Caenorhabditis elegans: one gene and its partners. The protein of the gene in region 2 interacts with the protein of the main gene of each other region in a biochemical or structural test. Each region holds a gene or a part of one and is shown on either strand. Other genes may lie near its edges.

Region 1 (4,703 bases), on a different chromosome or scaffold from region 2:
GAATTCCAATGTTTTCGAAACTTTTAGTTTTAATATAAATCTATTTCTGTTCAAACTTCTCTTTCAAATCTTCGTGTTTTCTACACCATTTCAAATTCATTCAAATTGTAATAGTGATTGTCTGATAGTGGGGGGATCATTCCATTTTCCTCCAATCGTCACTTTTTGCTTGTGGTTTCGTTGATTTTTGATGGCATATGATAAGAGATTGTCTGTTTGACCACATGCATTGCGAAATCCACAGTGCTTTTGGGCTGATTTTTTACGACGGTGGTGGTGGTGAAAAGATCCTGGATGCAAACAGGCACAGAAATTTGTGAACAGAGAGAGAAAGAGTAAGAGACGGTCATACAACAAACTATACACAAAAATAGTGAGTGATCAGCCGGTTCGACGCGCACTCGTAAGAGGGTACCTATGAATTATAAAGAGAACTATGAAAGAGAGAGAGAGAGAGAGAGAGAGAGAGAGAGAGAGAGAGAGAGAGAGAGGGGGGGGGGGGGGTACAGAGAAAGGGAGACAAAAGAGACCGTAACGGCGCGGCCGGTTCTCCACACCAGCAGCAGCAATCTCTCCTGGCGCTCTCCACTGTTTTGGGTACTGTTTTGAGGTCGATTTGTCTACACCTCTTATTGGTCAATACTATATTTGTATCTCTACAACTCTGCGCCTCTCCTCTCTGGTGTCCCTATGACGCAGGCAATTGTGAAGAAGTGAGATGAACAACGACTTTCAAAATAACATACCCTTCATTTTTAATACACATTAATTATTGTGATCTCTAGATTTATTAGACCTATAGGCTTTTTTTGGCAAAATTTTAGAAATTTTCCTTGTTGGGATCTGAACAGTAACAAGGATCTTGTAAACCAGTTCTACCAGGGAATTAACTTAAAATTTATAATTACAATTTTGCATTCAGGCAAGTTCGGTTTTGTTAAAGTCACCAATCATGAATTGTATGAAAACTAGCTTATAAAAACTGCATAAGAACATTGCAATCGCGAAAAGCAAGGAATCTTAATCTTAAAAACCCTAGCTATTCAACTATCGCAAGCCTATTTTTTGGTATTGCTCCAAGAGCTTAGATCTAAGTTGTCAGAGGAGCACGAAGGTGCACGACTAATAGGGAGAATACAGTACTTTCCAAAAATGTCTGGATTTAATTTTTGAACCATCTTCTTTCCTTGTAATCTACTTATCTTGTTCTATAGATGTCCAATCCCAAAACTCTCTGGATCAATCTGTTTTCTTTTCGACCTGTTTTTCAATATTTCTTCTTCTAATGTCCTATTGTACATACAAAAACCAACAACGTCTTTTCTGTTGACAAGTGCACGTCATTGCCCCCTCTTCTATCTTTTTTTCAATTTTCTCTCCTACTTTTTTGTGTCGTTTCACTTTCCCATCGTTATATTCTTACAGGTTACCTCCCCCTAATTCAGAATGGACGTACCGTCTGGGTCTTTGCTCTAAAGAAGGAGATTAGTATCTCCTTTTTGGTTCTGTAATTGAAATACAGTTATTGACAAAAAAAAAGCGCCCCAAACGATCCTCAACACTTGGAATCAATTGCAACCTGTGACAAGTTGGATTAACGTCCGAAAATACTTTTTTTCTGAAAATTAAAACAACAAAAGTTCAAGCTGGAGTCGTCAAAGCTCACGGCCGATCAGTTGAGCAAAACTGAAAAAATGCTCAAGGTGAGCTTTATTATTTTATTATTTTGAAACGGTAAATTTATAAATTAGGAATTTACAAAGTGTTCTTAAAGATATTTTAACAGCTATTGTGATGAAGTTATTTTTTTAATTGATTTTAATTTTTAATCTAGCCACTATTTTTTAATTTCACCGATTGCACTCTTTTTGGGATCAATCAGCAAGAAACTTACATTGGATCTTCAAAATGGGTAAAAATGTGTAGTTTTTTGGCGATGAGGCTCCACAACTAGGAAAAATGTATAACTGTAAATGTCATTAATCTTCATATTTTCAATCTATTTTCTTCATTTTCCGAACTGTATTTATTTAATCTAACTAGTAAACTATATTTTGTTTTCGTATCAATGAATTTTTCCTTGTAACTACAATTTAGTTTTAAATTCCGTAAAGGTTACTGTATAAGGTTATGACCAGTTTTTGCTCTTATTCAAATGTCGTCAAGCGAAATGATAACGGAACACCTCATAAAAACAAATAATGACGTTTTTCTTGAAGACTCTATAAAAGTCAGTGCTCCAAAAAACACTGCACTCCTCTGATTCACTGTTTAAATGATTTTTGCAACTTTGCACATTGTACCCAGTAGGTACTTGATGAATAACCCCAAATGTAAACATGATTTTTCAATTGATTAAGACTTTTTAAGTGTATTCTATAAGTTATAATATCAGAGAACAGATGATCAATTCCATAGTGTCTCTTATCAGCTGCGTGTTTTCTGCCGAGCTCTGGAAAATGTCAGTGATAAGGGAGAAAGGTATGAGTCGCTGACCGGTGCAAACACATGAACTTCAAAATCATATTTTGATGTCATTTAAGGAATCTAATTATTATAAGGAAAAGTGTGAAAAATGAAAATGACTCAGAAGTTAGAAAGAGGTTCGAGATTATGAAAGCTTCATTACTACCAAAAACATTAGTATGATAATTTTTAAAAAATAATAAGCTAGAAAAACAACACCAATTATCTTTCAGAAATTCAATAATAGCCGTTTTGTACATTTTACACCCAATTTCCTAAAATTTCCGAAAAATTGCGAATTGGTAAAACTTTCAGAAAATTTTTGTATCATAATTTTGAAAATCAAACAAAAAATTGTTCTCGAGTTTCATGTTTTAATTGAGTTCTAAAAACTGATATCTGAACATTCTAGAAGCTGGAACCTGTAAAATTGCTCTATAGCTCTGGAAACGTTTTTTTTGCTGTTAATTTGGCCATCTACCAACTGAAAATTTTTTAAAGTTTAAAAACTATTGGAGTTTTTAATTTAATATGATATTTGATAATGTTGGACTATTATTTGAGTATTCACATATATTTTTTCACTGCCGATGTACCTTTAAATCAATTAATTTAATTTGTTCCCATTTTGAATCTTTGCTTTCCATTCTGTACCCTTTTCCCCAAAATATTTATGAAACAATTTGTTCTTTCCTTATCTTCATTTGTTTATGACCTATTTCAAAGTTCAAAGGTTCTGTAAACATCGGGAATTTGCAATTTTTCCTAAATATTGTGTTTTTCTACAACAAAAGTGACGTTACACACATCATTCATTACCCCTTTTTTGTAGAAAACAGGTTTTTAGTTCTCTTGCTAAATAGAAAGGAAACTATTTTTTCGAAAGAAACAATGACGTGATTGAAAGTCTTGCAAAAGTGTAATCTGAATTTTAAAAGTGGGTTTTTTATTTTGAAAAACTGTTTTCAAAAATATAAATATGGGAAATATGAAATCATAATATTATCGGATTTTTTTAAATTTTAAATATTATTTTCAAATTGTTTTTCAGAAATTATTTTTTCAAATTTGTTCCATTTATAATTCGAACGAACTTTTCAATTCACTCCCCAACAGAGATCCATCTGTCGACTTTTTAACTTGTTTTTCTCTTTTTTTGTCCAATGTTTTTACGAGTAAAAAACTGTAGATCAAAAAGGGTGAAATGTGAATGTTTATGAATGTGGAAAGTTATAAATAGTGAATACGAATGGAATTTTTGTGTGAGAGAGATGAAAAAAATTGTTGATTTTAGAGTGGAATCGAGCAAATATATACAATCAGTCGATGCTCTCTGTTGTCGATCCATGCGTTCTCATTTTTGCCATTTTTCCTTGTCGGTGGTTTTTATTTTAGAACAAAGCAACTCTTTTCCTGGCCAAAAATTGTTGACTTTAATTAATTTAAGGTTATCTAGGGGTGTAAAAACATTCTGAAGGTTTTTTAGGTTTTTTGTTGTAAAAACTTTTTTACCCAGCTCGATCAAATAATTTTCCGTTTAAAAAATTTAAGTAAATTTTTAAATATTTTATTTAGCTGAAACAGTGGTCTGAGAATTTTTCAGATCTACTTTGCCATGACTATCTGCTGCCAAAAGCAGGTAAGCTTTTTCTGCCTTCATGGAAGCTTGAAATGTTTATTAAAATTCAAACGCTGTTTAAATTTAAATTGTTTGAATATGAATGTTTCAAAATTCTCAGTTAAAAACCTTCTCCATTCTAATTTTTTGTTCCGAATAGCCTACCTGCAATATTTCGGTGTGTCAAACTTTTGTTAAGGCAGTAGAAATTAGTTTCCAATTCATACGTATACTATTTTAGCGCTTGAGTTTTTGGTTTTGGAAATGTTATGTATTATGATGTTTTGATGGCTTCTTAATTTTTAAAAAATTGAGAAAAATTAAGAGATGCTTGACAATTGTCAAATTGTAAATTCAAGAATCAAAAAAATTGCCGTATTTTCTCTCATTCACTAGGTTTTTTTCGACTAATTTTGTAGAAAATTCTTAATTCTCTAGAGCTATTTCATTATACATGTGTGGTCTAAAACTGTTTAGAATTTTCGAAATATCCAATTCGCCGAATGTTTCGAAAATTTCGCAATAAAAGGGCACTGACAGCTGGAGGGTCCAATTTCAATACAGATGGCCGAGGTCTTCAGAAGGAGAAAAAAGATTCAAGGAATGGATTAGTGTTCGT
Region 2 (6,471 bases):
ATAACTGTTAAAAAATGTAGAAAATGTATGAAATTTTTCTAATTTTTTAATGATTTTTTTCTTAATTTTACAAAAATTTAAAAAAAAGGACTGAATTAAATTTGAACTCCCGCGCAAATGAGTGACGTCATTTTCGAAACTTTTGCGTTTTCAGCCTATATTAATAGGTTTTTCTTCATTTTTCCTTTGTTTTATAATTTGAAATACAGTCTGTCAATTTTTCAGACTAAAAGAAAATGTATGATTAATTTTGAATAATTAAGCCAATTTCAGAGTTTCGGTAAGTTTCTTCGCAATTATCAAGTTTGAAAAATGTTTGAAAAATTGAAAAATTATGTTTCAAATTATAAAACTAATTGTAAGAATAAAGAAAAACCAATTAGTTTGGCCGTAAAACACAAAATGTCGAGAATGACGCCATTAATTTGTGCGAGAATTCAAATTTAAATCGGCCTTTTTGAAAAAATCATAAAAAATTTATTATTATTTTTTGATTTTTTAACAGTTATATTTGGTAAATTGGGACTGTATTCTGTCATTTATGGCAAAAAAACCACTACTTCACCTTATAATTTAAAATTATCCAACTCACTATCTCTGTGTTTCATTTTAGCATCGAGTTATCACTTCCGATGACTAACAAATGGGAAATCTAAGGAATAATGCAGAGATTGAAAAGAATTAGAGAAACAAACAGACAAAATCAAGTATTATTTAACAATTGTAAAGAACAACCAAAAAACCCCACAGGAAAGACCACACAGAATGTGGACCCACGACTTTGGGAGATTAGGCACCTACGAGATTTCATGGCCCAAGTTAATTGGGTAGCGCTTTGAGTTGTCATAAATGTTAATAATTGAGAAAAAGATATTTAAAACTTAAAACGTACATATTAAACTTATTTCTTATAGAATTTACTTTCAAAGCTTTTATTATAGGCGGTCGATTTGTTCTACGGCAACTCTATTCTCCAAAACAGAGTGGTGTCTCTTTTCTGTCTGATTCTCTACTTCTCTACACATTTTCAATCCTAGGTGTGTCTCTCTCTGAAGGATGAAATCTCTATTTCTCTGCATCTCCTATTTGGCTTCAGCCTATCGCTTCTCTTCCGCACACAAACATTCACTCAGTGACGTAACTTTTAATACCTACACTATTTCTCTCTTTCGCATTGTCAACTTATATATATATATATGTATATAGATCATTCCTGTACTATTTAATTTTTAATTATAACTTTTTAAAAAGGTTATTTATGATTTAAAAAAAACAAAATCTAAAGTGTCTTTAAAGTGTAAAAGTAAAAATTGGCAGGCTGGGTATACTGCCTTTTTTCTTCAAGTTTTCGAATCTAAGTAAAAATAAAAAATTTCCCCTGCTTTTTTAATACAATTTTAGTTTGAATTTTACTTGTTGAGAATAATAGACTTCAATTATCTCGATGCAGTATTATGTATTTCACTAATAATTAACAGCAAATACCTCAAAATTACCCCGAACTCGAACTATTGCTAGAATAAACCATTCGAGTAACCCGTGTATTTATTGTAGAGTTCGTGAGAAAAGGATTAAAGGATTAAAGGACGATCCGTTCTTCAAGCGCTATGCACTGCGGATCTGGGAGTCAGGTACACTGCCTGGTGGTGATCCCACTAAAAAAGTAATTAGAGTATTATAGAAAAAATACGATCGCCCAAAAATAAACAACGGCGCAACGACACTCCGCTGTTTCTGAGACCCGCCCACGATTTCATTTGCACTGCGGCCGACACATTTCAGTGCAAATGAAATCTTGGGCGGGGTTTAGAAACGGTGGAGTGTCATTGCGTCGTTGTTTATTTTTGTACGATCGTATTTTTTCTATAATAAAGGTTTAAAAAAAAGAAACACACTATTGGATGTTACATTCCAGTCAACTTGATACCTAAAATATTTAAATTTTCCATTGAAATTAGTGTTGACTTTTGTTTCCTAAATACGAACATCCTTTCAAAACCAAGCGCAAAAAGTGTAAGATCATTCACAACTGAAGTCAAATTTTTGAAGTGTGAACATTTTTTGCGTCATGCAAATATGAAATATGAGTTTATGAGTCGATTAAAAAACATAAAAACCCAAACAAAAACGCTGAAATTTCATTAAATGTTAAAAAATGACTTCTTTATTACAAATCCAAAGTTATGATTAAACATTTAAAGATTAGCTGCAAAGATTATTTATTAAACTACATATCTTTCTATTTTTAGTCTATTTTTTAAACATTGTCAGGTTTAGTTTGCACTTCAAAAAATGAAAACTGTATTTCACTAACAATATGTACATATATCCCCTCCCTCATTTTTTTTCACTCCAGAAATGGAAAGTCAATATTTGGAAAGAAAATAATTTTCCAAACTGTTAGAATCTCCGTTTTTAAGATTTATTGATTTCTACGTGGGTTGAAATGACTCAGTTTTGATGAAACTCAACAATTTTAAGGCATTTTTATCAGTTCCGGTTGGAAAGGAAAATCAGAAACATTTTTGCAAGTGATAAGAATTATGAAATTTTTATAGATTTTTTCAAACGTTTATTTGGAAATTGAAATTATACTTTTAAAAATTTAAGAAAAGCTGAAATTTAATGACTAACGTTTATATTTAATTTTTGAATTTTAAGTATTTCTCCCTGAAACTAATAACTTTTTAGGCACAATAAGATGGAAGTGGATCTGCCGGTACATAACGAGTATGATGCGTCTAGATTTCATCAAGTTACAATTAGGGTTTGTTACTAGATACTTTACCTCCATTCAAATTCATTTTCAGGACCCGATAGCCGGCGCGGACAGCACTTTCACTATTCCAACTCGTTATGTAAACCTTAGTTTTCTGAATGCCGGCGCCCAAGGAACTGTCGTGTGAGTTTTTACTAATTACATTAATATTTTATTGAAGGAAAAATAATAGGGCGAATTTTTTAACGCAGTAAACAAAAAATTTCAATAGACAAACAAATATTAACACTTCAAAGATGTTAATCAAAGATTTGATAGATTGCCAAATTTTCGAATAATTTTTACTTTTTCAAACATTTCACACTTTACTGCAAATTATAGCCCCAATAATGTTCAAATACCAAAAGATAAAATAAATTTTTTGAAAGAACTATGAATTTTAGTCATTTTAGAAACATATGGCTGGTTTCAGAGAATCCTTTCTCTGGTCGTACTCCATCTTTGAATGTCTCACTGCCTTTCAATTGTATATTTTTACACTTTAACTTTTCTTCGGTTTTGCGTAATTTCAAACACTGACACAATGATGACTTCCCGAAAAAAAACGGACCGCCCTATCAAAAAACTTTTAAAACAGGTAGAGGTCTCGAGATCATTGTTATTCGTCATTGCCCGCTGCTCCACCTCTAAGATTGAAAAAGCTTGAAAAAATCAATAATCAAGAAGATCTTCTAGAAGAATGAAAGTGACTGAAATTAAATTATCGCGCAAATGACTTCAAACAGAATTTCTAAGTTAAGTGAACAGCCATAATTTTTATTGATTACATTTAGAATGGCCGATGACCTAGTAACAACGCAACGTGTGGCAATCAAGAAGATGCAACAACCATTTGTGATGACAATGAGCGCAAAGCGAGCATATCGAGAGTTTATACTGCTAACGACTATCAAACACCCAAATGTAAGATTCAGTTGGAATCTAGAAAAAATGCTCCAAATTTCAGATAATCCGTCTACTAAACGCGTTTACACCGGACACTTCACTTTCAACGTTCCGAGAAGTATATCTAGTTATGGAATTAATGACACACAATTTGCACGAGGTTATACATCGATTAAGGTAAGAGACATGGTGGCTGATTTTTATGATTTTTTTTCAGTAATACCAATTTTTATAGTAATATCTAGTATACTAGACGTAATTTAAACTGTATATGATGGACTTGTTAGAGACTAATAGACGTAAAATATTATTTTTCTGTTATTGATTTTGAGAACAAAAGAATAAAAATAAAACAATAGGAAAAGCACGATATCTTAAAGAAGGAGTGGCGGATTCATTTTTGCTCTAATAAACTCAGAACGACTCCAAAATATCAACCTTTTTTGTCTCAATTTCACGTTTAATAAACATATTCAACAATAATAATAAGTTTATTGCTGACACTTTTCAACAAAAAAAACTTTTAAAAAAAGAAAGAAACAAGGGCAAAAGCTAGACTTTCAATTTTGCCGTCTTTCGCGTTTCCCAAGGTCGGAAATACATTTTTATCCAACCTTGAGTACCCACTTGGAAATGTGCCGAAACCATCATCAAAACACGCACAGTTAGCTACCAGAACACGCGTAAAAAAATAAAAAAAATATTCCAGCGTGTTTTGAAAATTTTTGGTCAAGATTTTAGTTAACTACCAAAAATCAGAATTTTTAAAAAAGTTTAGAACACTTGCACATTTGAGCTCCTATTCATGATTGTTCAATGATTCAATGATTGAATATTGAATATAAACACATAATTAGATTCTAAAAAAATTTTCTGAATTATTAGATTGGACCATAAAACATTATCATTCTTCGTCTACCAGAGTTTGTGCGCAATCAAGCATCTTCACAATTCGGGAGTCATTCATCGTGTACGTATCTACCACTATAGACAACATTCTGAAAAATTCAAAGTTTCAGGACTTAAAACCATCGAATATTGTCGTCAACGATCGATGTGTATTAAAAGTTTTAGACTTTGGATTGGCCCGGAAGAAGAATGTGGACACATCGATGAGAATGTCAGATTATGTGGTGACAAGATACTACAGAGCCCCCGAAGTTATATTAGGTCTTCCCTATTCGGAAAAAGGTTTGTTCGAAAAAAAAAAAAATTTTTGTAATTTTGGGCTGGACTTCCATCTGCGCTCCGGTGAGCCGCCTCAAACAGCCTCACGCCGTACGTATCCGCATGTAAAGTGCGCGTAAAACCCCAAACGTGTCGGCCGCTTCCAAACAACACTCTCAATTCATAATTGCAGTAGATATTTGGTCAGTCGGATGTATATTTGCTGAAATGATCAACCATACCGTACTTTTCCCTGGAAAAGATCGAATTGATCAATGGACTAAAATTTATAGTGTTTTGGGAACACCAGATGATCATTTCATTAGTCAATTGGGTCAGTCAGCTGCTATGTATGTTCGATCGTTGCCACGTCATCAGGCACGAGCATTCAGTGAAATCGTTCCTGATACCAATTTTCTGCCGGAGACTGAAAATCCAAGGGTCCATTTGACACGTGAGTCAGGCTATACAGGATTTTGAAAAATAAATCATATTTTCAGCACACGTGGCTCGTGATCTCCTGTTCAATATGTTGAAAATCAATCCTGAAGAAAGGTATTCAGTTGAAGATGCACTGAATCATCCATATGTTAAGTTGTGGTTTAAGGTACAACAATTTTAGCACTAAACAAAAACAATCAAATCATGCATCTCAAATCTTACAGGACGATGAGGTAAACGCCCCCGCATCAGAAAATCGATACGATCAGGAAATTGATTTTGCCGATAAGACACTTATTGAATGGAAAGAGCTAATTTTCAACGAAGTGCAACGCTATCAAGCCGACCACGACATTTTCACTGGATAATAAATAATAAAAAACCTAAAATTGTTTCTTTTTCTCTCAAAAATAATTGTGTTACTTTTTTCTTCAAAAATCTATCTTTCAGTTGTGTTCTGTCACTTAGTTGGCCATATTTTCTGGTGATTCTCTGCTTATTTTCTATATTGATTATAATCACTAAATGTTAATTATTTTGGAATACAGATTTTTTGGAACTGTTTTGTTTTAAGTATAAGAAATTGAACCTTAGCTCCACAAAATTTGCATCTCATTATAAAGTAGGGATTGTTTTTCGATTGTATTGTCAGGTTTAAATTCAAAATTCTAAATCAATAAATTAATTTTTTAGGGACCAGGTCCCCTATGAGGTCGCCACAGCGGCGCCCGCGCCGGCCTCACAGCGTCAATCACAGTGCATGTATCCGAATATATAGTGCGGCAGGGAACCCGATCGTGAAGTCCGCGCCTCACTTAGCTGGGAGACCTATAGGTTTTTTTTCTTCAAAACGATGCTTTAATTTTTGTTCTCAAAAACAAAATGAAGCCAAAATGGGAATCCAGAACGACCGGACATTAAATCACACAGATGGACAATGGTGGTCTTGAATAAGTACATTTATTTCACAAAAATTGAACATTCAGTAAAAGATGAGGTTTGAAGACTGAAAAGTGGGCTGGACAACAGAAAATCGACTTTTGGGTAGTAAAAGATTTTTGATATAAAGATGGGAAATAAAGTATATGGACATTTGGACAAAAAGAGAAACAGAGACGCCTTGAAATGTTTTCAAATGATTCTTTTAGTATTCTATTCTAGAATTAAGAAAAGCGGATGGAAAATATTTTTTTGGAATC
Region 3 (4,811 bases), on a different chromosome or scaffold from region 2:
TTCTGAATTTTTTATTTTCAGCCAGGCGTTTCCCTTTCGACGTAATTTGTTCTCGAAATCACCTGAAATGTGAATGGGTGGGCAGAGGAAACACAAAAAAAGAGAGAATTCAAATTGATTCTGATGTGATGCCATTTCCACTAATCTCTCAATTCTTACTCCCACCATTTTTTTGCAATGATTTCCGAATTTGTGACTGCTTTTTCGTTCCGATTTCATTTTGATGACCGTGTACAAAAAGATGAGCAGACAACCATAACGAACGCGAAATTGTATGGAATCGTGAGAGACATAAGTATGATTAGAGAAAATACGAAGTTATCAATTATGAGTAGATACTACTGTTGATATTGTAAATTGGAAAGTGAATCACAAATCATGACTATTGGAGACCAATGAAACACTTTCAGATTTATGTTCGAAACTTCGTACCCAACTTGGTTCCGAAATTGGCAAAACTTGGCCAATTCCTGGTTCACGAATGTACAATTCAAAAGCCTCTAGATATCAGCACAAATAAGCCAAATAAAACATGAAGTTAGTAATAATAAAAGATAATTAGCATCGATCGTGTTAGGCCGAATGACTATTCTTATGCAAATTACGGTGTTTCTATGAAAAAATTAAGTGCAAGTGCCGAAAAAAATCTACCAATCAAAATTAACTTTGCAAATGCGATACAAATTCCCAAATGCAATGAACTGATATCTACCGTACTTTCCAAATGGTATGGTACACGGTATGTTACCTTGAATAAAACTTGTTTTGATATCTAGACGAGTTGTTTGGTATGCTGAATAACATGGTAAAACAGTTCAAAAAATTAAAAAATGTTTGTAACTGTAGTCAAAATCTGGCTATTACTAATAATATGTTATCACGTATTACAAATATGAAAGATCTAGGACCGAACATGCAAAAATAGTATAAATTACTTTGAAAAAAAACCTTTTTTTTGCATTGTGCCAAAAACAAAACCTCAAACAATTTCAAAAAGAAAATCAAAATATGTTTAGATTTTGTAAAAATGATCTAGAGTATTTCTGGTCTAGTTGAAGTATGTGCAGACAAAATTCTCGAATGTCATAATCGAACACTCCAGAGTAAAATGTTCATTAACAGTTTTAGTAAATTGCCAAATTTTCCAAAAAATGTTTTCTGGTCGACTTCCAAAATTGGATTTACTGAAACATGAGTTTTTATTACTCTCGGTTTTTATTAATTTGAAAAACCGGATCAGAAAGCTTCAAACCCCTGCAAAAAACGTATTATATTTTAGTTATTATTGGGTGCATAAACAAGATCTATGGGTAAAAGACTAATGAGGTCAGGCCTAAAAAGAATGAAAAACAAGATGAGCTCTGAAAAAGCCAATGAACTTCCAAAAAGATAAGTGGCTGATGGAAAGGCAAATACAGAAGTCAAAGGAGCGGAGAGAAATGAGGGAAAAGAGACGGAGAACGTGAAGCAAGCACACTGACACATTATTTACGGTAACATTTTTCTGCGAACTTTATCCATTTCCTCTCTTTCTCTCTCCATTTACCTTTCTAAATGTCAATTGGGTGGTGGAAAGAGAGAATGAAAAATAGAGAGAATGAGAAACTTCTGGATTCTCTCAATTTTCAATGTTTTCTTTCAATGTTCGTTTGTCTATCTGCGTCTATGGATGTCATGGATCTGGAAAATAGAGAGAAAGAGATAGAGATAGAAAAAGAGAGAAAAAGGAAAAGAACGAGTCAGCAGAGGAAAAGAGACAAGAGTGAGTGTGCGTGTGACTCATTCTCGGGGCCCCCGCCGACTAACCCCCATCGCCATCGTCGTCAACCGATTCGTCATCAACTTCTCTTCCTCTCTATTCAATTCTTATTTGTCAAAAGGTTTTGAAATCAAAATAAAACAAAAATGGAAGAGGATCAAGAGGAACCACCATCCTCATCAACATCATCAGAATCTCCAGAAGTTGTTCTAAAAGCTCCAAAAGCTCCAACTCGAAGAAGGAAAAATTCCAAAAAGGGTTAGTTTGTTTGTCTAGTTCAAAAGTTTTGGAATACTTGATGATAAACCTGTCACAATAGGAAATGGACAATCATGGTTACAAAACTATAGTTTCACTACTATCAAAATGCCAAATTACAACTACCAAACATTTGTGATCTCGTGATTTTATCGTTAATTGATGAAGTTGTTTGTCAAAACATTATATCAATTTGTAGATCTATGTTTAATATGAATTCTTTGAACCCATAAAAAGTTTATGACGCGTGCCAAAAAAAACAGGTGGTTGTTAAAATTGTTTTGTATTTTTCTTAAATGATTTGTAAAATTAAATCATATTGTTTCTTACCAAATTGAAAGTTTTTCTATGCAACAATTTCCTTTCAACTGGACATAAAACACTTAAAAATAGAGTAAACGGTATAATCCTGGCTCCGCCCACTTTTATGAATGTTCATCATTACATTTTAATCATCACAAAAACTACGAGCGAGACTCTAATTCGGAGAGAGACGCAGTGATCGAGAAAAAAAAATCGAGTTGACACGTGATTTTCGATTCCAACGACGCAGCTACTGTAGTGATCGAAGCGGCGCACAGCTTTTCCCGCCCGTTCCATCTGGCAACTGTCTGCGTCTCTTCGTCTTATATGGTCTCTTTTCTTCGAACTGTTTTTTGTTGATAAACGCATATGCCTAGTTTAGCGGAAGTGTAGAGGCATTAGGGTTAGGATCTAGGAACTTGAAACTATATATATATATATATTCCTAGACCATATTCTGTAAACTTGGTAAATTTTTTGAACTTTCATTAAACCTAAATTCTTGATTAATATTTAAAATTGCAATTAACGGTAAAACTATGTTTTTTTGGAAAATCTCTACCTCCTACTCTAGCTTGTCCCCTAGCTTTACTTTGAAGATTTGTATTATTCAAATCCTTCAAAAAAAGCTTAAATATATTATGGTATACAAATCCGACAAACCTCATTTCTCTAAAACCTTCATCTAGAAATTTAACATATTTCAAACCCGACATTTTTTCACAAGAACTACCTAATAAATCACCACAATATGTCTCTCCGCCCTCTCTTGGTTTGAGAGCAATATTTCATTGGTTCGACCTGATTGTGCCAAATGATAAGACTAACAGCTGTTCCTTTCGGAAGTTTCATTATTAGCTCATCAGATCATTTTAGTACACTATTTGGGTTTTTTAAGGTTTTGTCGAAATTTATAGTTAGGTATTTTGAAAACGTTCTTCGAAGTCATATTGACAAAAGTACAATACGAAAATACAAAACACACTATAAGTACAGAAAATTCAAGCAAAAGTTCAAACAATGCTATTTTAAAATTGATTTTGAACGATCGAATGCTATAAAAAATCTAAAATGATCTTACAAATGGCTTATCCCGGCCCTTCGCTTCTCTATTTTACGTCGAATTTCTCGTTATCAAGATTTTTGCAAAGAAGATGTTTAAAAGTTTGTCTTGAAATTTTTTTTAGCTACGTGAGCTGAACTAATTTTCGATGCGTTTATTCTCGAACTTTGGTTTCTTAATTTCCATTTTATCCAGACATATTTTGTTCATTCGTTCTATCCGTTCCCATTCATTTCTTGGAATGAGTCATCGGGCTTTCGTAAATGTTTTGACACACACTTTGCCCCTTTTTTCCTTCCCATCTTTCAGTTTTTAGGCTCTGATTTCTGTTCCATAACATGCATGGGTAATGAGATGAAAGAGGCTATGGCAACTCTTGCGAAACAGTCATATGTTTGATGAAATATTCAGGCGAATCTCTGTTAGTATTTGTTCTCATTTTCTGCAGAAGTTGTTTCAATTTTAGAATGGAACCTGTAGGTAGTTAGTCATTTTGAACTCAGTTTTAGCTAGGTTACCCATAGTAGATCTATCTAGAGAGGTGCATCCTCAGGATCCACTGCCTGCCTCAAACCTACCCGCCCCTCCTGGCTTCATATTTTTGATTCAACGATGTTTGGCGCTCGAATTGTGTTAACTCATGAGTTATTAATATTTCTAGGCACAAGGCAGGCAAGGGTTGCCGTGAAGGCAAGCCAAGTTCCGATGAGGCGCATGAAGCCCTAGTTTCAGCCAATTCCCATCAAACCTGACACTAATCTTTAAAGAACATATTCATGACGTTCTGCTCGTGGAAGACTGATCTGCTCTAATATTTTCTTTTTGATGTTTATCTCTGAGCTTTTCTGGTTCTCTAGTTTCATCTACATTTTCTGTTAGAGAACATCTGAGAATCTTTTTCTTCTTCTCTTTTTTTCACTTTTTCTATTTTCCCACCATCATAAACACAAATTAAAGAACGTGCTTGGATGGAGCATTATGAAAGTTTTTCACTTTCCTTTTTCGTGTCGCGTATTCAAAAACTTTAAACAACATTTCCCACCAACTTTTTCTGCTAATCAGCGTAGTTCCAAGAACATCGTTAACATGTTTTGTTAATCAAATCTAACACGCGTTTCATGATCAATTGATGTTTGTGTTATGAAGTTATCTGAAACATTTTTCTTCATATATATTGAATCTATTTTTTTGTTATGCTTTTCTCGATTCCCGCCAATTTAGGATATATTCTTGTTGGAATTGTACTTCCTAAATGTGCTGATATTTTGGAAAACAATTATTTTCCGGGTCTTTTGATTTGATCTATGATTTTGCAGTGGCTGAATTTTAAATAATTATCAAAGAAATCATAGTTTTTGTAAATATACCTAAAGAACATAACCGTATTTTAATATGGAATTGATCAGAAAATAATCAATCAGTTGTTTC
Region 4 (5,371 bases), on a different chromosome or scaffold from region 2:
TTATGTATTGGAGGAGTCCCAATTGGCGAACAAGCTAAAGACGTTAGAGAGTGAGTGATTAGAATTTCGAATTTTATGATTTTCATTATTTTCAGTGGTATTCATATTGTTGTTGCGACACCAGGACGACTATCTGATATGCTTACCAAGAAAATTATAAATTTAGAAGTAAGACATAACTTCAAAGATTTCAAAAATTGCTTCAATTTATTACAGGTTTGCCGTTACTTAGTTCTAGATGAAGCTGATCGAATGCTTGATATGGGATTTGAAGATGAAATTAAATCAATTTTCTATTTCTTCAAAGCTCAACGGCAAACTCTCCTTTTCTCGGCTACGATGCCACGAAAGATTCAATTTTTCGCAAAATCAGCACTGGTCAAACCTATTGTAAGTTTTATTTATGCAATCGAGAAGTTTCAAAAATATAATTTTTTAACCTACTCCCAAAAGTTGTCATTCTTCAATTCTTAAAGAATAATTTTTCAGGAGTTTGTCTGTAAATTATAAATATTTTAGGTCGTAAATGTTGGACGTGCGGGTGCTGCTTCATTGAACGTACTCCAGGAGCTTGAGTTTGTTCGATCAGAAAACAAATTGGTTCGTGTACTTGAATGCCTTCAAAAGACTTCTCCCAAGTAAGATTTTATTTATCAGAAAATAATTAATTTAGAAATATGGCAACGGTTTTATATTTCAGAGTTTTGATTTTTGCCGAAAAGAAAGTTGACGTTGACAATATCTACGAGTACTTGCTTGTAAAAGGAGTTGAAGTTGCTTCAATTCACGGAGGAAAAGATCAAAGTGACCGTCATGCTGGAATTGAGGCATTCCGAAAAAATGAGAAAGATGTACTTGTGGCAACAGATGTTGCATCAAAAGGACTCGATTTCCAAGGAATTGAACATGTTATCAATTTTGACATGCCTGAAGATATTGAGAACTATGGTGAATTTCTTATTTATTTTTCATAATTGAATTTTTATTTTCAGTTCATCGAATTGGTCGTACCGGACGTTCCGGACGGAAAGGTCTCGCAACGACATTTATCAACAAAAAATCGGAGATGTCAGTGCTTTCCGACTTGAAACAATTACTCGCAGAAGCAGGGCAGGAACTTCCAGAATTTCTCAAAATGTTGGCTGGTGACGAGGAGGGAACTGCTCCAGCTGGCACAAATGCGGAAAAGGTAGTTAGAAAACATTTAGAAAATCGGGAAGTTCAACATGTTTTCAGGGATGCGCATACTGCTCCGGTCTGGGTCATCGCATCACAGATTGTCCAAAACTCGCTGGAATCGGAAACAAAACGACGCAAGCATTGGCAAGAGGTGGAGGCGACGATGGTGGTTTCTGATTATTTTATTCATACATTGTATCTCAATCTATTTATTTACTGTTTTCTTGTTTACATTTATAAAAATATTTGTCAGAATTGTACTATTTATTTCATGTTTAAAAAAAGTCTGGATTTCCGAGAAAACATGAAAATAATTAATTGATCGAGTTCATTGAAAAAGAAAAATGAATTAAATGCATTCTCAAAATTCTTTTTTTTAAAGGAGACACCACGGTTTCAAGATCTGATGGGAGTCCGGATCTACGTTTTCCGGATCTACCATTTCCGGATCTACGTTTTCCGGATCTACGTTTTCCGGATCTGGCACCGTGCAAACTCTTAAAACGCTATTTTTTCGAAGAAAAAAGTGACAACGACGCTCCGATGTTACGCGTCGCGTGTTGTTAAGCGTTTCTTCTAGAAGAAAATTTCGAAAAAAGTCGTGCGTTGAAAAGCGTTTTGTGCGTTGGCACGGTGCCAGATCCGGAAAACGTAGATCCGGAAAACGTAGATCCGGAAAACGTAGATCCGGAAATGGTAGATCCGGAAAACGTAGATCCGGAATCCCATCAGATCTTGAAACCGTGGTGCCTCTTAAAGAGTCGATTCTTTAAAGGAACACAGACTTTCACACCGTTTAGGTTTCGCCACGCGCCCCAACTACAGTAACCTCGACACACTCATCTACTAAATTTTGGGACAGTTCCTAATTCTTTTTGCTGTTTTCAACTCAATTTTCTGGAAAAATCTTAATTTTCTGCGAAAATGTCTGATGGTTGGAGTGATAGCGAAAGTGCTGCTAAGGGTGAGTTTTATTTTGAACTTTCCACCGGTTTTATTTTGATTAAAAACTTTATTTCAGCCAAAACTGGATTCGGTAGTGGAGGCGGTTTCGGTGGTGGTAACAATGGAGGATCTGGGTTTGGTGGTGGTAAAAATGGAGGTACTGGATTCGGTGGAGGAAACACTGGCGGATCTGGATTCGGTGGAGGAAACACTGGCGGATCTGGATTCGGTGGAGGAAAGACTGGCGGTTCTGGATTTGGAGGTGGAAATACTTGTGGATCCGGCTTCGGTGGAGGCAGTACAGGAGGATCGCCGTATGGAGGAGCCAGTTCTGGATTCGGTGGTAGTACTGCCACATCTGGATTTGGAAGCGGTGAAAAATCAAGTGCATTTGGAGGATCAGGTGGCTTTGGAGGTAGTGCAACTGGATTCGGAAGTGGAGGAGGATCCTTTGGAGGTGGCAACTCTGGTTTTGGGGAAGGAGGACATGGCGGCGGAGAGAGAAACAATAGTTCGTTTTTTAAATTGACTTTATATAATTACGTTTGTTTCAGATTGTTTCAATTGCCAACAGCCAGGACATCGATCGAGTGACTGTCCAGAGCCGAGAAAGGAAAGAGAGCCGAGAGGTTTTATTTTGATATAACTTTATTGGCAGTAATTTGTTTTATTTTCAGTGTGCTACAATTGCCAGCAACCCGGGCACACCTCTCGTGAATGTACAGAAGAACGCAAGCCGCGTGAGGGTCGCACTGGTGGATTCGGGGGCGGAGCTGGATTTGGAAACAATGGAGGAAATGACGGTTTCGGTGGGGACGGTGGTTTTGGTGGAGGCGAAGAACGTGGTCCAATGAAATGTTTCAACTGTAAAGGCGAGGGACATCGCTCTGCTGAATGTCCGGAGCCACCCCGTGGATGTTTCAATTGTGGCGAGCAAGGTCATCGCTCGAATGAGTGCCCCAATCCAGCCAAGCCAAGGGAAGGTGTTGAAGGAGAAGGACCTAAGGCGACATACGTGCCAGTCGAAGACAACATGGAGGACGTTTTCAACATGCAGAAAATTTCGGAAGGCCTTATGTTCAACAAGTTTTTCGATGCCGAAGTTAAACTGACTTCATCCGAGAAGACTGTCGGTATCAAACCTTGCAAGACATTCGCGGAAGCTAATCTCACGGAGACCATGCAGAAAAACGTTGCTCATGCTGGATACTCCAAGACCACTCCAATTCAGCAATATGCTCTTCCACTTGTTCATCAGGGATATGATATCATGGCTTGTGCTCAAACTGGATCAGGAAAAACCGCTGCATTCCTTCTGCCTATCATGACTCGTCTCATTGACGATAATAATCTGAACACTGCCGGAGAAGGCGGTTGCTATCCCCGTTGCATCATCTTGACTCCAACTCGCGAACTCGCTGATCAAATTTACAACGAGGGAAGAAAGTTTGCTTATCAAACAATGATGGAGATCAAACCAGTTTACGGAGGATTGGCTGTCGGTTATAATAAGGGTCAGATCGAAAAGGGAGCCACGATCATTGTCGGAACTGTCGGAAGAATCAAGCACTTCTGTGAAGAGGGTACCATCAAGCTTGACAAATGCCGCTTCTTTGTTCTTGACGAGGCTGATCGTATGATCGATGCTATGGGATTCGGAACTGACATCGAAACTATTGTCAATTATGACAGTATGCCGAGGAAAGAAAATCGCCAGACACTCATGTTCAGTGCCACTTTCCCCGATTCTGTACAGGAAGCAGCTCGCGCTTTTCTCAGAGAAAACTACGTGATGATTGCAATCGACAAGATTGGAGCTGCAAACAAGTGCGTCCTACAGGAATTCGAGAGATGCGAAAGAAGCGAGAAGAAGGACAAACTTCTAGAGCTTCTGGGAATCGATATCGACAGTTACACGACCGAGAAAAGTGAGTTTTTCGTTTTCTTATTTGATGAAATAAATTTCAATATTTCAGGTGCCGAAGTTTACACAAAGAAAACCATGGTCTTCGTTTCTCAAAGAGCAATGGCTGATACACTGGCTTCAATTTTGTCATCGGCTCAAGTTCCAGCTATCACGGTTGGTATATTTCATTTTTGACCGCTTTTTAATTCAAAATGTACAGATCCATGGTGCCCGTGAGCAGAGAGAGCGTTCAGAAGCTTTGAGACAATTCCGAAATGGATCGAAACCTGTTCTTATTGCTACTGCGGTCGCTGAACGTGGACTTGATATCAAAGGAGTGGATCATGTCATCAACTATGACATGCCAGACAACATTGATGACTATATCCATCGTATCGGAAGGTCAGTTATATTTTATTAATGTTTCAATAATGCAAGCATTGTTTTCAGAACTGGAAGAGTTGGAAACTCTGGAAGAGCTACAAGCTTCATCTCGGAGGATTGCAGTCTTCTGTCCGAACTTGTTGGTGTTCTCGCCGACGCACAACAGATTGTTCCAGACTGGATGCAAGGTGCTGCTGGAGGCAATTACGGAGCTAGTGGATTTGGGTCCAGTGTACCAACTCAAGTCCCTCAAGATGAAGAAGGCTGGTAGAAAACCGACCAATTGATAGTGTTTCGCATTTATTAATGCTGTCAGTTCCCCCATATTTTATCCTGCCCTTGTTGATTTTTAATTGTATTTGTTGGTGTTGGTTGTCGTTATAGTCCTCGCCGCATAAACTCTGTTCAATATCATGCTGTTCACGACTTCAACTATTAGTTGCATATTAAATGAAAAGAATTTTAACAAGCAAACTAGGCAATATGATCTCATATCACATTGCTCTCTCAGCTAATCAACTTCAATAATTTGTTTTCCGATTCTCCGCGGCGAGCATTTTTCCGCATACAGAAACTTTAGGCTCAATTCTTTATTTATTTTCTTTTTTGCTCTTCTCTCACTCGCTCATTTCCGGTCGATTTACATTCGTTTTTTCGCTTTCCTCTCACCTGCTTTTTTGCTCCCGTATTTTTTCTGTTGGCTTTGCCATTCCATTTACGGTTTGCTCAGTGATCACAATCAGGAAATAGAGTTTGAGAAGAAGAGTATTAGGGAAAAGAGGAAGAGATGATGCTTAGTTTCTGTTTCGCTGTGGCATTTCCTGTGTGCTTGTCTATCAATTTCTTCAAATATATTTTTAGTAATACTGTAGTAAGGTGTATTCTCAGTAGCACGTGGTGGGGTCCCACTGCGAGAGGGGTACTGTAACATACAATTTTTTGCGAAAATGTTTTCAG

Evidence for each region.
Region 1: of the proteins of kgb-1 (region 2) and vhp-1, one has a biochemical effect on the other in vitro, tested with the Caenorhabditis elegans proteins (one study listed by BioGRID).
Region 3: of the proteins of kgb-1 (region 2) and jun-1, one has a biochemical effect on the other in vitro, tested with the Caenorhabditis elegans proteins (one study listed by BioGRID).
Region 4: of the proteins of kgb-1 (region 2) and glh-1, one has a biochemical effect on the other in vitro, tested with the Caenorhabditis elegans proteins (one study listed by BioGRID).

Annotation. Positions count from the first base shown.
Region 1 is NC_003280.10:5,321,582-5,326,284, forward strand, and holds the start of vhp-1 (protein-tyrosine-phosphatase), read left to right. Parts: upstream 1-1,694; coding exon 1,695-1,703; intron 1,704-4,703. UniProt on the Caenorhabditis elegans protein: Acts preferentially on the c-Jun N-terminal kinase (JNK) and p38 MAPKs. Plays an important role in the heavy metal stress response and in axon regeneration by negatively regulating the kgb-1 (JNK-like) and the pmk-1 (p38-type) MAPK signaling pathways.
Region 2 is NC_003282.8:405,117-411,587, reverse strand, and holds kgb-1 (GLH-binding kinase 1), read left to right. Parts: upstream 1-1,554; 5' UTR 1,555-1,631; intron 1,632-1,715; exon of another isoform or gene 1,716-1,826; intron 1,827-2,691; 5' UTR 2,692-2,701; coding exon 2,702-2,767; intron 2,768-2,810; coding exon 2,811-2,902; intron 2,903-3,552; coding exon 3,553-3,682; intron 3,683-3,725; coding exon 3,726-3,841; intron 3,842-4,549; coding exon 4,550-4,634; intron 4,635-4,683; coding exon 4,684-4,855; intron 4,856-5,024; coding exon 5,025-5,285; intron 5,286-5,331; coding exon 5,332-5,438; intron 5,439-5,496; coding exon 5,497-5,640; 3' UTR 5,641-5,967; downstream 5,968-6,471. UniProt on the Caenorhabditis elegans protein: Mitogen-activated protein kinase which is an essential component of the JNK pathway composed of mlk-1, mek-1 and kgb-1.
Region 3 is NC_003280.10:9,111,386-9,116,196, forward strand, and holds the start of jun-1 (Transcription factor jun-1), read left to right. Parts: upstream 1-1,771; 5' UTR 1,772-1,905; coding exon 1,906-2,017; intron 2,018-4,811. UniProt on the Caenorhabditis elegans protein: Transcription factor that recognizes and binds to the AP-1 non-canonical enhancer heptamer motif 5'-TTAGTCA-3'. Required for ovulation. Controls plc-1 expression in the spermatheca to regulate spermathecal valve dilation.
Region 4 is NC_003279.8:6,852,709-6,858,079, forward strand, and holds glh-1 (ATP-dependent RNA helicase glh-1), read left to right. Parts: upstream 1-1,769; 5' UTR 1,770-2,103; coding exon 2,104-2,143; intron 2,144-2,200; coding exon 2,201-2,635; intron 2,636-2,678; coding exon 2,679-2,753; intron 2,754-2,801; coding exon 2,802-4,052; intron 4,053-4,100; coding exon 4,101-4,204; intron 4,205-4,250; coding exon 4,251-4,432; intron 4,433-4,480; coding exon 4,481-4,685; 3' UTR 4,686-4,828; downstream 4,829-5,371. Other genes in the region: sacy-1 (RNA helicase), read left to right, coding at 1-50, 96-168, 217-390, 520-638, 701-948, 993-1,189, 1,237-1,356. UniProt on the Caenorhabditis elegans protein: Probable ATP-binding RNA helicase. May act redundantly with the P-granule component glh-4 to regulate the formation of the granular structure of P-granules in embryos. Plays a role in positively regulating the localization of pgl-1 to P-granules.